Linked DNA regions of Sus scrofa. The protein of the gene in region 4 purifies or fractionates together with the protein of the main gene of each other region. This does not show direct contact. Links are inferred from orthologs where the notes say so. Each region holds a gene or a part of one and is shown on either strand. Other genes may lie near its edges.

Region 1 (3,960 bases), on a different chromosome or scaffold from region 4:
ATAAATAAATGAACCCCCTCCCCATCCAGTTTTCCAAGTTTCTTCCAAAACCTAGCAGGCAAGTCACTCTTAACTTTCCTTACCACATTAGGTAGAATTGACTATTTCCTCCTCTTGTGCTTTCACTGAATGTGGTATGTTAAGTCCTATCATAGCACCAATGATTTTTAAGATTGTATCCCAAGCATCTGATACGTTTTAGGCACGCAATAATGAACCAACATTCACCTTAAGGAGATTTAAACATTCTAGGAAAACGTCACTGTTAGGCATAAACCTTAAGACACTCTTTACAATCCAATACAAATGATTGTTTTTAAATTGCTGCATCCTGCAGGCACTTTAATAGTCCTCAGACAGTTGGCCAAAAGCTTGGCTACGGGAATCACTTATGTTAGGAGAAGACTACGACTAGAGCGCCAAGGATGATTGGCTGCTAGGACCTTTAAGTTACAGGTTTTCAGGCCGACGCCGACGGTAGAACCAGGAAACCGCTAAAAGTTCAGTTTTTGAAATACGGTTTTTGCACCGCAAAGAAAAAAGATTAACCTATCAGAAAGAACCTAGCACATCCAATTACCAATCAAGAGCCGGAAAGAAGCCAAAGCAGGGATACCCACGCACCAACGAGGACGTCATTCTTAAGTCTCCGCCAATGAGCTGTTGGATGCGGGACGGGGCGGGAGGCGGACCAACTGCCACCAAAAACAAACAACAATCTGCAGTACAACTGCTCTCACCACAGTCCTCGTCTAGCAAACCACTGGAGGAAACTCGTGGGCAAAGCCCTTGTTAAATACTTTCCACTCTCCTCCTCTCCTGGGGGCAGTTATAATAGAGTACCTTCCTTACACCAGAAAAAGGACCTTCTTTCCACCAGCTTCCACAGACTCGCAGAAAGCACACTGCAAGTTTGCACTTTCTACCTTCACAGGAACTAGCAGTCCAAAGCTACCTGAGGGGGGAGGGGCGGCCTCAGTGCGCAAGCGTGCATGTCTTGTAGAGGCGGGGCTGTAGCGGCCCAAGGTAACCTGGGTATTGTATTTCATTCTACCGCATCACTCAACTGTTCCTGAGGTTTATGGAACTACATTTCCCAGGAGTCTCCGCGGCCTCGGGGGCGGGAGGGATGGTTCGTTAATGAGCTCGAGGAAGCCGCGGCGCGGCCCACCAGGTTCCAAAACAAGGAAATGAAGGGGGAGGCGGGACTGAGGGTGCCTGTAGGAGCCGCAGCCGCCGCCGCTGCCGCCGCCGCCGCCGCCGCCGCAGAGGAGGAGGAGGTGGAGGAGGTGGCCGCCGTGGCCGCCGAGGAGTCCCTTGCTGAAGGCGGACTGCCGGGCGGCGGGCGGCGCGCGCGCGCCCCAGAGGCGGTTGTTGGAGAAGTGGAGCGGCGGTCGCGGGGGGGAGGAGGAGGAGGAGGAGGGACTGAGTGGCGGCGGCCCCCGCGTCCCGGTGCCTCTATGGGGAAAGCAGACAATGGATTATGATTTCAAGGCGAAGCTGGCGGCGGAGCGGGAGCGGGTGGAGGATTTGTTTGAGTACGAAGGGTGCAAAGTGGGACGCGGCACCTACGGGCACGTCTACAAGGCGAGGCGAAAAGATGGGTAAGAGCAGGGGCGGGGGGAGTAGGCTCGTTCGGGTCCTCGCCCTGCCCGCGACCGCGCGGGATGGGTGGGTCGGAGCCCGGACGGGCCAAGCCCGGGGGGCGAGGCGGACGTGGTCCCGGGGCCGCGTCCCGAGGCGGACTCTGAGGGACACGGGTTCTGCCCGCTCGCGCGGGCCCCGTCGCGCCCCTCAAACTCCTGCGGCGCAGCCCCGTCGCGGGGTGTCGGTTTCGTCCCGGAGGGCACCCTCCGCGTGCATGGAACTGGCGGCGGGACTCGAGTTGGGACCTCGGTTGGATGTGGAGTTTGTGGGGCTTTGGTCTCCGGGGGAGACGCAGAGGTCTGGGAGAGCCTTGCGGAGGAGTTGCCGCTCTGGCCCTCGGTTGGTGACGGTCGTGGTGGAACTTCCAATCGGCTGAGCGCCTCCCGGGGGCGGAGGTTTGAAACCTCGCCGAGGTCTCCGTCGGGCTGCCGAGTGCCTGGGTCCTCGCCAGCCTCACGGGTCTGAGCCGTTGGGCACCTTTTCCCTGGGGGCGAGCCAGCGCTCTGGCCCCTCCGCGCAGTCCCTTCAGTCCCTGTGGAAAACCCGGCCACTTCTCCACCTCGCTTCGCCCACCTCCGATCTTGCTTTCTCACATTCTCCATTCCGCACCTTCCCTTGAATGTAGACCTTCTGAGAGACCAACCAGGTTTTGCCCGCAGAACTTAAGAGTTCGGTGTGGTAACCCATCCCATCCTCCAGCAGCCTCCCCTTGGGTATTCTTAGGTTCTCCACTCCATCCTCTGCCAAGTGGCTGCGTGCTGCGGTTTATTGGGCACCTAGATTACCCATAACGGAATTCAAGTGGCACGGAGTTGGGCCAGAACCCTTGTTTTCCTTGGACTTGAAAGAAAATCATAGGAAGCCCGTCCTGATTGTTCTCTTAGGAGGGCACAGGGCTCTCCAGTACAGGTGGAACCAGCTCCCTGCCTGAGAAGGGTAGGTTTAAACAAGTCATCACCGCAGGGCCCATCCTGGCAGAAATTCCACTTCCCCAGAGTTAGGGAGCCGGGGAACATCTGCCTGTCCCACTTAGTGTTTGAAGACGATCAAAGTGTGGAAGAGAGGTTTTAGGATCATAGCGAAAAATTGCTGAATGAACAGAGTATCCGTCACCGTGACGTTAGTTAAGATCTGAAGTGCTGCTTATCGTTCTTCCACACTCTGTTGTAATTGATAAGGTTGATTGATGAACTCTAGGACCAAAGTAGGTAGGGGATGTGTACGTGTGTGCACTAATTTTATACAGGGAACGAGAAAGCACAACTTTATAAACTGGTTTATCATAAAGTATGGTGAAAACTGCAAAGTACTTAACATTGTAAAGGGTTGTTATTATTGCATATAATTTTTTCCTCTTGTTATAACTGAACGGGTCCCCTAGAATTCAGTTGTTTGTAAACCTTTCTCATGATTCTTTTAGTTAATTGCCATATGTCCCTGCTTGAGTATCTTGGAATGTGAAGTACTATAATTAAGTTGTATTTTGTTTTTGGAATATCCACTCTCCTTGTTATACTGGTGTCTCTCTGGGAATCTTATCAGATACATTTGGGGAAAGCACATCTAGCTTTACTATTTGGACGTTGACACTGTAAAACAAATCAGAAGTGTTCTTCATCCTCCTCACACTAACTTTGTAATGTACTTGGCCTGGAATTTTAAAAAAATGTACTTTAATTTTGTTGTTAAAATAGCTTTTTTTTAAGGCAGCTTTTGAGAAAAGTTAAAAATTCTACTTATGAATTGTATTTGAATAGCATGAGCTACAACAAAAATCAGATAATTTAAATCCTGCTTCTCTTTGTTCTTTTTGAATATTTTCCCCTCTAATAAAATTCTTGATTTGAATACACTTTTTTTCCTTGAGTGAAATTTGTTTGATTAGAATTAATAAAGCCCTAGTAAAGATCAGTTTGGATATCTTCAAAATATTATGCTTTAAAAAGACTTTTTCAAATCTGAAAGCATTACTTTTTTTTGGCTGTGCTCCTGGCATGTGGAAATTCCTGGGTCAGGGATGGAACCTGTGCCACAGTTTCAACCTGCACCACAGCTGGATCTGGTAACACGGAATCCTTAACCCACTGTGCCACAAGGGACCTTCCTGAAAGCATTACTTTAAATCACTAAATTATGTGTGAGAAAAATCAGTGTAAAGATTTTTGTCTTGAACCAAGAGTTTAGTTGAGATTTGAGGCTTTAAACACCCACATGTCTTGTGGGTGGGTAGCAGGATTAGTTTTATGTTCATTGATACCATTGATTTGAAAGAACAGAAATCTTTTAGTGATGGCTCTAAATTGTGATACACAT
Region 2 (4,006 bases), on a different chromosome or scaffold from region 4:
CGAGAGAAGATACAATTACTTTATGCTCCATTAGTAAAAAGCAGGCCATAAATAAATACTGGGGAACATATATTTTTTTTAAGTGAAAAGGCTGAGCGGACACTGCGTGAGTGATGTACCGCCTTCTCAGGATGAACCAGCTTCTTTCCTGGGGAGCCCCCACGTCTCTGGGGTGTCAGGTCAGACAGCCTGTCAATCTAGAAGCCGGGGCTGGGTCTCGGGTCTGTCTGAGGACTTGCTCTCAAGCGCTCTTCTTAGGTTGGCCTCTCCCTCCAGCTCCCGAAATGGGCAAGTGTCCCCCCTCCAGAGACCCTGTGCATTATTCTTTCCTAAAAACAAACCTTGGGAAAGTGTGAGCCTTTAATTATCCACCGAGACAGAAGGGGGACCACCTGTGGGCCTGGGGTCTCGAGAGGACTCAGGGGATCCGCTCCTAAACAGCCGTCCAAGCAGCCCTCCCATCCTCAGTCCCGTCACCCTCAATCACCTCTCACCGGAGGCCCTTGGCCCTGCCGCCTCCTGAGATCCGGAAGGGGCCGCGGCCAGAGGCAGCTGCTCCCGGCCGCTTCCTCGGGCTGGGAGGTGGACTAGCCCCCGGCCCCCCCCTACGGCAATCATCCCCTCTCGTGTCCTTTTCAGTTTTACGCTTAAAAGACACTCCTCACTGTCCACTCAGAGGGGACAGAGCAGGTCACACACGGGACGGACACAATGTCTTTCACAGAATGTTCTTGAGAACACCCCACAACAACCTTACGATTTCGGTGTTATTGCTCCCGGTTCACGAGAGAAAAAGATTCAGAGAGGCCGTTTGACCGAGGCCGCCCCACCAGCACACTACAAAGCTACCTCGGAAGCCCTCCTCTGAGGTTCATTGCTATTATTCACCTCTTAGCGACACGAAAAATTACGGCCTAGAAAGGCTCTGTATTTACCAAGATTACAAGGCAAGCAAGCATTAAGACTATCTCATCTCGGAGTTCCCACCGTGGCACAGCGGAAACGAATCCGACGAGAAACCCACTGGCCTCGCTCAGTGGGTTAAGGATCTGTGCCGTGAGCTGCGGTGTAGGTTACAGATGCGGCGCAGATCCTGAGTTGCTGTGGCTGTGGTGTAGGCCGGCGGCTGTAACTCCGATTGGACACCTAGCCTGGGAACCTCCATATGCCACGGGTGTGGCCCTAAAAAGAAAAAAAAAAAAGAGAGAGAGACCATCTCACCTCGCAGCCCATGCTCTCTCTAGTGCACCTCAAGGATCCGTCTTTAAGGCCAGCCCAACCCGAGGGTCCTATCAGGATGCCAGAGTGTGTACACTGTGTGTTTTAATTTTCCAAAAACCAGAACAGATAAATCTGGGTTCATCTGGACAACGCCCTTCCAACCCAGCACCGCCCTGGGACTGCAGGGCGTGCAGGTGGGTTGGGTTTCCTATGTCACTGCTGCCTACGAGTGCTACTTGCTGATCACAGGCTCACGAGAAGAGTCGGCCTCACCAGATAAACAGTATGTTCACACCAAACGAAGCCAAGTTCTAATGTGAGAAAAAAAAAGGCTTTGCAGTTGTCTGAAAAGTGGTGGAAGCGTCAGAGCGTCCCAGGCAGTGACTCTCTTCCACCTAAACTCAAAACAAGCTGGGCCACTGACAACACTTCACTGTTGTGAGCGGCAATTTCATTTCAGCAAAACATCCAAGAGGATGCTGAGGTCCACCTGAGTGTTAGAGCAGAAGGAACATTGTTTTAATTTGCTTTGTTTTGGGTTTTAATGGCTAAACAGACGTGATAAGCTGAGGGGTTTACACCTTGTTACCATGGGGACATAAATAACAGTAAAAACCATTTGGGCAAATGTGGGGACCCTGGCGATTTTGGTGGGGTTTTCCCCCCTCTTTAAGGGTCAGTCTGAAAAACCGGGTCCCCTGAAGACCGGCCTAAAGGAGACATCACCCCTGCGGCATCCTGTTGGGAACTGTGAGTGCGACGGGCTGTCTAGCGGCCATTCCCTGCCATGGCCTTATCATCACCCCTAGAATCTCTTCGCGTTATGGGTTATTCCCGTTCACGACTCTGTTCCTTCTAACTGGTGAGCAACGTGGGCGTGAACCGTATGCCCTTTCAAGTGTACATCCCCTGGCGCTTAGCAGTGTGCCACCCGCGAAACATGACCCACATCTGCTGGAAAAGACACCGAAGCGAGCGTTCTGTCCTTCATTACGTGTGAGAAAACAGCCCCGAGAAGCCTGGCTGGCTCCGGCCACAGGGACGCTGCACCTGTGCACGTGGTGTCCAGGTCGGCTTCGTTTCGAGGACTCCGCCCGGCCAGCACGGGGCCTGGCAGCCCTGAGCTCAGCGTCCGCTCAACTCGGGGGGAGGCTCGCGGTGGTCTTCGCGAGGCCGCCTCCCCGGGACCGGCGGCGCCCCGGAGCTCGGCCCGCGACGGACAGCGGGGGCGCACTCGCGGGCACCCCGGGCTCTTACCACTTGATGACGTTGTGAACCAGCGGGAGGAAGGAGCAGTTCTCCTCCGCCTTCACGACGGCCGGGGACGGAGGCCTCGGCGCGGGCTGCGGCTGCGGCGCGGAGACCGGCGTCGGCAGCTGCGGCGTCGGCAGCGGTTTCGTTTCGGGCATCGGCGGCTCGGTTGGCGGCGGCAGGGCATCCTCGGCCTGCCGGCCGGCGGGCACCCCCACTGAAGCCATGGCGCCCCGCGTTTCCGCGGCGGGTCGGCTGGGCCGCGGCTCAGCGCGCCGAACGCGTCGCGGACTCTGCACGTCACCACCGTGCGCCGCGGGGCGGGACCCAGAGGGAGGCTGGGAGCGCGCGCCCGGGGACGCGGGGCGGGGCCTGGGCGTCCGTTACTAGGCAACGGGCGGCCGGCCGGGCTAGGGTGCCCTGCTTTGGGTTGTGCGTTGAGGCAGCTAAATTGTTAATAGAAATAGATATATGTCAGAAATAACATTTTATTCCTATTCGCGTTACAAAGAGGATCCAAAATCAACAAGTGCGGAAGACTTGAGATAAATAAGGCCTCTTGAAGAGCGGAGGCCCCTGCCCAGCACCTGCTGGGGTCAGGCCCTGGGCCAGCGGGCGTGGAGAGAATCCCGGCGGAGGGACCCACGGTTCCCACCCGCGCAGAGGCCTTCAGGGGAGAGGCCCTGCGCCCGCCCTAAGGACGCAGGAACAAAGAAGCTGCGACGAACTAAGTCAATACTTAATATGCATCTTCTCCATGACTGCTGTACTGCCTGCGGGGAGGGGTGGGAGTTGTCCCAACTTCCACACGAGGCTGAAGGGGGTTAGTGCCAGGAATAAACATGTCCTAGGAGAAGTCAGCGGCACGTACTCTCCTCACCTGTGGGCCCCAGCTCCTTAAGCCTCCAGGGCTCAGCGTCCTCACCCCAAAAGCCTTATATAGTTCAGGAGCCTAAACTGCTTCCCACCTTCCCACACGTGGCCGGCCTCCAAGCTCGCGTTTGCAGGGGCACTCACTCCCTGGGATCTCAGGCCAAAGCCAGGGGAACTCTGGTGGGTTTGTGGTTATGCTCCTCAAGACAAGTCCTCCCTGGCTGTGTAATAAATTCCTGGGCGATGAGAACACACGTTCTGAGCTTCGCTGGTGAGTGGAAGCCCTGCCCTTCCTCAGAGCTTTAGAGACACAAGGAGACTGCAGTCAGGTGCCAAGATGAGAAGCAGCATTGAAGAGCAAGGCGGCCGTCCTAAGGAAAACGTCACTGCAAATATTTCTAGATGCATCCAGAGGGGTCTGTGAAGGCAAGTCCTGGGGAGGCTTGGAGTGGGTGCTTTGGGCCTCAACACTGCTTTCTTGTAAGAACTACCCAGAGAACCCCTGAGGGAGCGCATGGAGGGGGAGGTGAGGACTGCTGCCCAGGGGCCTCTCCGCCCAAAGGAAGTGCCAGGGTCCTGGTGGAGAACCGGAAGGAGGACCAGAGGCACTGAAGGGGCTTCCGTGCCTGGAGTCCTCTGGGGAGGTACGGAGGCTGTACCG
Region 3 (4,207 bases), on a different chromosome or scaffold from region 4:
CCTTAAAACGCCAGGTTTATCAAAAGCAGAGGACAGCAGTAGGGTATTTCGAATTCTTAATATCAAAGGAATGACCTTTCGAGCTGTTTTATTTCTTCCTAAAACCGCAGTTTAAGAAGCCAACTGCTCTGGTCTAAATTCCTTTACTAATTACTCATGCCTGTGATGCTCGCTGGACAAGTGAAGGAATACGTTTACATACATTCATTTTAACAGCCAAACACCTCTAAACAAAATTTACTTCATTTTACTGTAAATCTCAGTCTTTTTGAAGGTGTTACTGTCTGGGTTCCTAGAGCTCTCTGAAATTTCAGTTGCAGAACATATGATTTCATTTGAAAGTAAATCAATACTTGAAACAAATTATTTAATCATCTTTTTATGAAAGATTAAACAGCCACAAATTTTATTTTACCAGGACTAAAATGCATTAAATTACATTTCACTGACATAAGATCAAAAGAACCTCATAAATACAATGCTGCGTTTTACCAGAGTGAGGTTATAAGAAGCCAAACCAAAAAATATTCCCTCTGGAACACAAACACCATTTTAAGTAATTTTAAAACTCTCTTGACATTTGATCCATTAAAAAAAAAAAGAAGTTCTTCCTATAAACAAAATCATTAAAGGCTGCTGGAAAACAAGCCCAAAGAATTATAAACAAAAAGTTAATTTTTCCAAAATGCAATGCTATTTTTTGCCTATCATGAATGACTAAGAAATGTTCATATACTATACATCCAGCTGTTTTAAAATTGTATAATTCTAAAATTATTCTCGGCCTACATTAAAACTTGACCATGAGATATAAAATGTGGTCAAAAGTACCTCTTGCCAGTAAACAGTATTATAGTTTTTTAATATAAAATCAAAGTCAATATAATTTACATGTCTTATTAGCTTAAACTGGTCATTTATGAAAACAGAACTAGCTTTTCTCAGATCAAAAAAATTTAAAGTCACCAGAATTTCATAATACAGATGACAGATGGGTCAAATATACTACAATGTCTAAGCTCACGGGATCACGGATTTTATACGTCCCAAATTACATAATATTGGGGGGGACAGGGAGATGCCTTAAGACTTCTGAAAAATCTTATATGAGAAGTTAATAAGGATAATTTTTAAAACAGGTATGCTACTAGAGAGTAATATTTCAATGAGGAATATAATTAAACTACACAGTCAACACTATCTCCAGACACTGATTTCTCAAATGTCACCAGACTATCCTTCTGCTAAAAAGTACTTTTAAATACACGAGGCACCCCAAGTATCAAGTTTTCCAATCCCTACCTTTGGCAGATACCGGTACTGCTTTCCTGCTGCACTGAAGCCCTGAACTGCACAATCCAAATAAATGAGAACTACTGTCTTCTTCCTGTTAGAGTCCATTCTAAGTTATTTTAGAAAGATATCTCAGGAAATCTAAGGAAAAAGTTGAATAAATATATACTTCCTTTTCCCATATTCAGGATACCAAGTATTTATAAATATGGCCTCCCTCTCATCTCAGGTAACTTCAGCTTTAGGAATGGTGTCATTTTTTTAGCGCTAATGTAGTTCTGAACATACCTTCCTATCTAATTTGGGGGGAAAGCAATTATTTTAAACGTTGAACAGCAGCTAATCAAAACACCAGTGAAGCGCAAATAAAATCACTTTGTTTATAATAAAATCTAAAGATCATGTAATAAGCTTGGACATTATCTTTCCAGCAATTTTCTATAATGTCCAAGGCAATAAAGACAACATTCGTTTTTACAAGAGGAAAACAAGGAGTTTAAAAAATATATTTTCTCAACTAAGAAATGCCTTCTCTTTTGTCAATATTACAAGACATCCATCGACTGACAAAGGAAAAATGAACATTTCACTTGCCTGTTTAGGAAACTAAATTGGGAGCATTACCAGTCATAGACTTAAGTTATTTCTAGGGAAGAATATTTAAAGCAAAGAGAAAGTTCACTGCCAACTGCTCAATTGGGTGGGGGGGAACGGCCTGAACGAGATACCCCTCATCACTCGCCTTTTTCCCCACCACCCACCCGGCACCAAACCCCCATTGTTCTACGTAAAACTCACAGCTCACGGTATCTAAATCGCAACTGCCACATTTCTGGGGCAGGTGATCAGGAGAAGGAACTCTGGAGAACCACACCGACTTGCTGCTTTGCCTTCTCTTCCCCCACCCCAATAAAATCCAAATGAGATCGTAAATCAGTCACAAGCTGGTGGGGGAGAGGATCCCAGCTTCCCATCCAGACGGCTGGATGTCACTCCAGAGGCGGATGAGCAAAGCCCCGGAAGGTTACCATGATAGACCGAGCCCCCTAAAGATCACTTAAACTGACACATCCGAGGAAAATGTAAGGAAACCCCGGGCCGAAAGCCCTGCAAAGTACACGGCCCGGGGAGTAGACGCTGCTCTTCCCGAGCAGCCGCGCCAGGAGAGCCCAGGGCAGCAGCGCGCAGGGTCCCCCGCGGTCCACTTCCTCCCGAGCCCGGCCGGCAGGAGGCTGACCACCTGCCCCGGCGCCGCCGCCGGCGCGACGCGGACACTCACCCATCCTTCCTCTTGGCTTTGTAGACGTGCCCGTAAGTGCCTCGGCCAACTTTGCAGCCCTCGTATTCAAACAGGTCCTCGACCCGCTCCCGCTCGCTGCTCAGCTTCACTTTAAAGTCATAGTCCATTGTCACAGCCTGCGAGGCCGGGGAGCGGGGCCGGGGCGCCGGGGGGCAGGGGTGGGGACCGGCGAAGCTCCGGCAGCCGCGGCCCCCGGGAACCCGCCCGCGCTACGCCCGGCGGCCGCAGCGCCGGCCCGACCGCGGCGGCAGGAGCAGGAGGCGGCCCCGCGAGGGCGCCGGGGACATCCAGGGGGGCGGCGGGCAGGGGCCGGCCGGGGGGGGACGGCGAGGTCCCCGGCGCAGAGAGCGAGCGACGAGGCTGGGGGTGGGGAGCGCTGTCGCTGCCCTTGTCCCCGCGGGCTCCCGGGGCGCCGGCCCCTGGCTCCGGCCGCGCGCTCTGCCCCCGCGGCGGGGAGCGGCGGGGCGGCGCGGCGGGCTCCCCTCTGGCGCTTGCGCTCGCGCCTCGCCGCGCTCACACACGCTCGCACTCACTCACTAGCCCGCTCGCTCTCCCATACACTCAAACAGAAAGGCAGCGCCGCACAACAGCCGGTACCTCCTCAGCGAGCGGAGGGAGGGGACTCGCGGAACACGGCCGCGCTGTCGCAAAACGTCGCGAAGCCTCGGGCGGCTCGGCGCCCCGCGCAGCGCGCCCCGCGCCGGCCGGCCCGCAGCCCCAGCCGGAGACCGCTCCCCGGGGGCCGCGCGGCCCAGGCGCGGTAACCGCTGCCCGGAGCTGCTGCCCCACGCACAACGTGGGCCGTCCCGGCGGTGGCCGGAGCGCCAGACTACAGGGCCCAGAATGCACCGGCCGCCGCCGTGGCCGCCGCTCCTGCGGCTCCACCCCCCCCCCCCACAGTGGCGATGTCGGAGCGTTGCATGATGGGATTAGTAGTCCAAGGGAGGGGAGTCGTTGCAGCCACTTGGGGAGAAAAAAATTTTTTTACAGCGACGGAAAAATCAGACTCTGAGCCAGAGTCTGATTTGGGGGGTGGGGAATTAACCAAGGAAATTCCAGTGTGAGGAAGGCTAGTCTGTATTAGAATCACGCTGTATCCCACTTCCGAACTCTAGAGTTTAAAGGGCATGATCATTATCGAAAAAACTCTTGGGTATTGGTCCACAGCTCACCGGCTGTCACTTAAATGTGTGCTCGTCGTTCCCAGTCTCCTACGGGCTGCACAATGAGCGACGTGCTGACACACATTGCAGACAGCAGTAAAAGTGAGTCAAGAAGGAGTGGCCACGCCGCTCCCAAAGAGTGTCGCTCTGGTGACAGATGACCGTCCAAATGCGTCCCATCCTTTCAGAGGTGACATTATTTTGAGGACAGCCTTCTGCACCACTGCCTACAAGAACAGCGGTTTTTAGCCAGATTACAGCAGTGGGTCTAAATCCATGGAAACCGTTTGTCAATAAGTTTAAGGTAGGAAAGTTGTGGCTGAAGGAGTCCTGAAGGCTTGATAATCATCTCTCATTTTCTCTCTCTGATTTAGACGTCTGTTTTTTCGTTTTATATTTTTATCCATTTTACTGTTCCCAGTTGCTACGGTTTCCACCAGAGCTCTCCACC
Region 4 (3,512 bases):
AAGTCATTTCTCAGAGACTAGAACAGGCAAGCTGGGATTTGAAACTGGATCTTCTGATTCTAGATCCTGAGTTCTTTCTGCTGTAGTTGTGCTGCTGGCTTCCATAGTCAGCTCATAGGTGGCTTACTCTTCTCTGAGGGCTCACCATTGCCTTTGGGATGAAGACTGACTTGGGCAGGAAGGCAAGGCTCTGGCCTCATGCTCAGATGCTCCCCTTTGCTGCTGCTTTGGGGCCACTTCCTGTGTTTTAAAGAGGGAGGAGGCCAAGGAAAGTTAGGGATAGATGGGAACGAGAGTAGCTGCTTTGTTTGGTATGCTCAAATGCTGTTACTTTTATTTTCCTTATTATGTGATATATGACTACACAAAAGTCCATATGTAAAATCTCTGTGAGTTATTAGTCATCAGTAATCATTCATTTGTGAGCCCATCACCAAGAATTAAATTGTGATCTGGAGTTCCTGATGTGGCCAAGGGGGTTAAGCACCCGAACAGTCTCTGTGAGGATGCAGGTTTGATTCCTGACCTTGCTCAGTGGGTTAAGGGTTTGGTGTTGCTGCAAGTTGTGGTGTAGGTCTCAGACGCTTCAGAGTCTGCATGGCTGTGGCTCTGGTGTAGGCTGGCAGCTGCAGCTCTGATTTGACCCTTCGCCTGGGAATGTTCGTTTAAAAAGAAAAAAATGAAGCTGTTAATTAACTCTGTTGAAGTTCCGTGTGTGCCCTTCACCTTTCTCGGGGGGAGGAGGGTTAGGGTGATTTCCACCTGCCCCCTCACCTGCTGGTTCTCTCACTTCCTCTGGAAAAGGCTGTTGGGGCGGGGCTTCCACCCCGGGACTGCTGAGGTGATGCTGGCTTGCCCCTTGGCCTCATTCCAGCATCAGACACTCTTCCCCGTCTGCAGGCGAAGCTCTTGACACTGCCCTGCTCTCCATCCCTTGCAGGTCAGGCGGGGAAGCTGATGTATGTGATGCACAATTCTGAGCACCCTTTGAGCTGCTTCGCCCTCTTTGAGAACGGCCCCTGCCTGATCGCCGACACCAACTTTGATGTGCTTATGGTAAAACTCAAGGGCTTTTTCCAGAGCGCCAAAGCCAGCAAGATTGAGACCCGGGGCACCCGTTACCAGTACTGTGATTTCCTCGTGAAGGTGGGCACGGTCACGATGGGGCCCAGTGCCCGGGGCATCTCTGTGGAGGTAAGACCTCGGTGAACTAGGAGCAGGGGTGCCGAGAGGACTGGCTCTGCCAATTTTCAGGGGCCCTGAGTACAGCCTGAGGTTCCTGCCTCCCTGGTTCCTGCCCGCAGAGCAGGAGCTGCTCCCTGCTCTCCCTGCATCTTCTACCTGTTCTTTAATCACTCGGGGACTTTCTAGCCCAGGATGGCAATGGGAAGCTCAGTCCTCAGCGGGTAGGAAGCTTAGGAAGGCCAGCTTGCTGCAGGGGGAGGGATGGTCGGGGGCAGGTGAATCATGGAAGAGCAGTCACCCAGCACCAGAAGGACTGGAGCAGACCAGGGCGGCTTTCCGTGCAGTCCACTCTGGGAGGCAGGCCCTGAATCATGTGTCCACACACCTCCCCTCAGCATGCCTTAAGATGGTCTCCAGAGTTCCAAAGCAAGAATGAGCCTTTCCTTTTGCCACACTGTCCACTTCCTTTCTCAGTGGAAAGGGGTGTGTGTAGTGACTTCATCTTTGCGGCATATATTGAAAATGGCAAAGAGAGAGTGTGGCAGCAGCTGGCTTTGGGAACAGTGAGAGCTTGCCATCTACCATGGTCCTAGCACTGTGTGAGGTAGGAAATTAAGTAAGCGACAGAGCCTGCCTTTTGGAAATTTATGACTTATCTGATAGCACTTAGATCTGGAATCTAATATACAGCACAAATGAACCTTTCTACAGAAAAGAAAATCATGGACTTGGAGAACAGACTTGTGGTTGCCAAGGGGTAGGCCGAGGGAGTGGGATGGACTGGGAATCTGGGGTTAATAGATACAAACTGTTGTCTTTGGAATGGATAAGCAATGAGATCCTGCTGTATAGCCCTGGGAACTATATCTGGTAGCTTATGATGGAGCATGATAATATGAGAAAAAAGGATATATGTACGTATGTGTGACTGGGTCACCTTGCTGTACAGTAGAAAATTGACAGAACACTGTAAACCAACTATAATGGAAAACAATAAAAATCTTTAAATAAAAAAAATTTTTTTAATGAAAGTTTATAATTTAGTAAGAGCAAAGTCCAAACACTCAAACTGATTTGGAAGTTCATCTATAAGAAGTGCTGTAAAAGAGACACAGGCTGCCCTGGGAATTCTGGCCAAAGAGAGGGCTAACGACTTTGGGGATTGGGGCGCCTCTTGCAGAAGGAGCACCTAAGTGGGGGCCTTAAAATGTGGAGATACAGGGATAGGAAAATCCTAAAAAGCGTCCCAGGTGGAGCAAAGGGCATGAGTGGTGATCATTGGGTGATACTCCAGGACCTCTAGGGCCAAGATTTCCTGACCGTTTTCATTTGCAACTCACCCTGCATTTGTCAGGACCCGCTGGGAGCCTGCTCTTTCTCTTCCACGTTCCCAACTTCGTAGTACAAACACATCCCAGCTGTTTCTTTACTTATTTCTTCTTACGGTGACCATAATTTCCCCTGCCATCTCTCCAGTGAACAATTAGGAGAGAAGGAGAAAGCCTTTGGCCCCTATCCCGTGGCTTGGGAGACCATTTCTTTGGGTCAGAGCCCAGGCTGGCTGTACCCTGGAGTAATATTTGGTCTTGAAGTGGCTTATGAGTGTATGTGTCTACTTTGCCCCCAGTATGCATACGTGCTCTTTCCCCTGAATTTGGTTTTCTCTCTCAGAATTTTCCTGAGCTCTCCATGAATCTTTATGCATCCTGGCCGGGGCTGTATAGTTCTGAGATAATTAAAAGGGGCCTAGATCTGCCCTTGGGTCTTGTGGGTAGGGCTGTGGGTTGGTAACCCCAAGCTGCAAATGTCTGAGCCTAAAGGGAATGGTGCTGGTGTGTCGAATCCCTGGGGGTTGGGTTGGCGGTTTCCTGCGGGGCAGCGCTGTGCAGGTGTGCGTCTTTGGCCCATAGTCTGAAAAGGTGGGAGCAGAGGCAAGAGCTGCCTGAGAAGCAGATGACCTGTCCCTGCTCTCCTCACCCTCCGTCTTTCTTCCGGCCCCAGGTGGAGTATGGCCCCTGTGTGGTAGCTAGCGACTGCTGGAGCCTGCTGCTTGAGTTCCTGCAGAGTTTTCTGGGCAGCCACACCCCAGGGGCTCCTGCAGTGTTTGGGAACAGACACGACGCAGTCTACAGCCCAGCAGACACCATGGTCCAGTACATGGAACTCTTCAACAAGATCCGCAAGCAGCAGCAGGTGCCGGTGGCGGGGATTCGATAGTGACTGGCCGCCTGGCTGAGCTCTGTCGCCAGGGGAACTCCACCAGAGGAGCAGGTGCTGCCCCCTCAGGCCCTGAGACCCCGGAAGCCCAGGGCAGACAGGGAGGTGTC

The links. The genes of interacting proteins can lie anywhere in the genome.
Region 1: the proteins of MED20 (region 4) and CDK19 purify together in Homo sapiens (affinity purification with mass spectrometry; 5 studies listed by BioGRID and IntAct, counting the BioPlex papers as one, with this or other methods). This does not show direct contact. The link is inferred for Sus scrofa from reciprocal best matches to the Homo sapiens genes MED20 and CDK19.
Region 2: the proteins of MED20 (region 4) and MED9 purify together in Homo sapiens (affinity purification with mass spectrometry; 6 studies listed by BioGRID and IntAct, with this or other methods). This does not show direct contact. The link is inferred for Sus scrofa from reciprocal best matches to the Homo sapiens genes MED20 and MED9.
Region 3: the proteins of MED20 (region 4) and CDK8 purify together in Homo sapiens (affinity purification with mass spectrometry; 8 studies listed by BioGRID and IntAct, counting the BioPlex papers as one, with this or other methods). This does not show direct contact. The link is inferred for Sus scrofa from reciprocal best matches to the Homo sapiens genes MED20 and CDK8.

What each region holds. Positions count from the first base shown.
Region 1 is NC_010443.5:76,790,677-76,794,636, reverse strand, and holds the start of CDK19 (cyclin-dependent kinase 19), read left to right. Parts: upstream 1-1,160; 5' UTR 1,161-1,476; coding exon 1,477-1,604; intron 1,605-3,960.
Region 2 is NC_010454.4:60,931,200-60,935,205, forward strand, and holds the start of MED9 (mediator of RNA polymerase II transcription subunit 9), read right to left. Parts: upstream 2,801-4,006; 5' UTR 2,700-2,800; coding exon 2,479-2,699; intron 1-2,478.
Region 3 is NC_010453.5:4,053,035-4,057,241, reverse strand, and holds the start of CDK8 (cyclin-dependent kinase 8), read right to left. Parts: upstream 2,801-4,207; 5' UTR 2,701-2,800; coding exon 2,573-2,700; intron 1-2,572.
Region 4 is NC_010449.5:37,064,146-37,067,657, reverse strand, and holds part of MED20 (mediator of RNA polymerase II transcription subunit 20), read left to right. Parts: intron 1-940; coding exon 941-1,194; intron 1,195-3,186; coding exon 3,187-3,402; 3' UTR 3,403-3,512. UniProt on the Homo sapiens protein: Component of the Mediator complex, a coactivator involved in the regulated transcription of nearly all RNA polymerase II-dependent genes.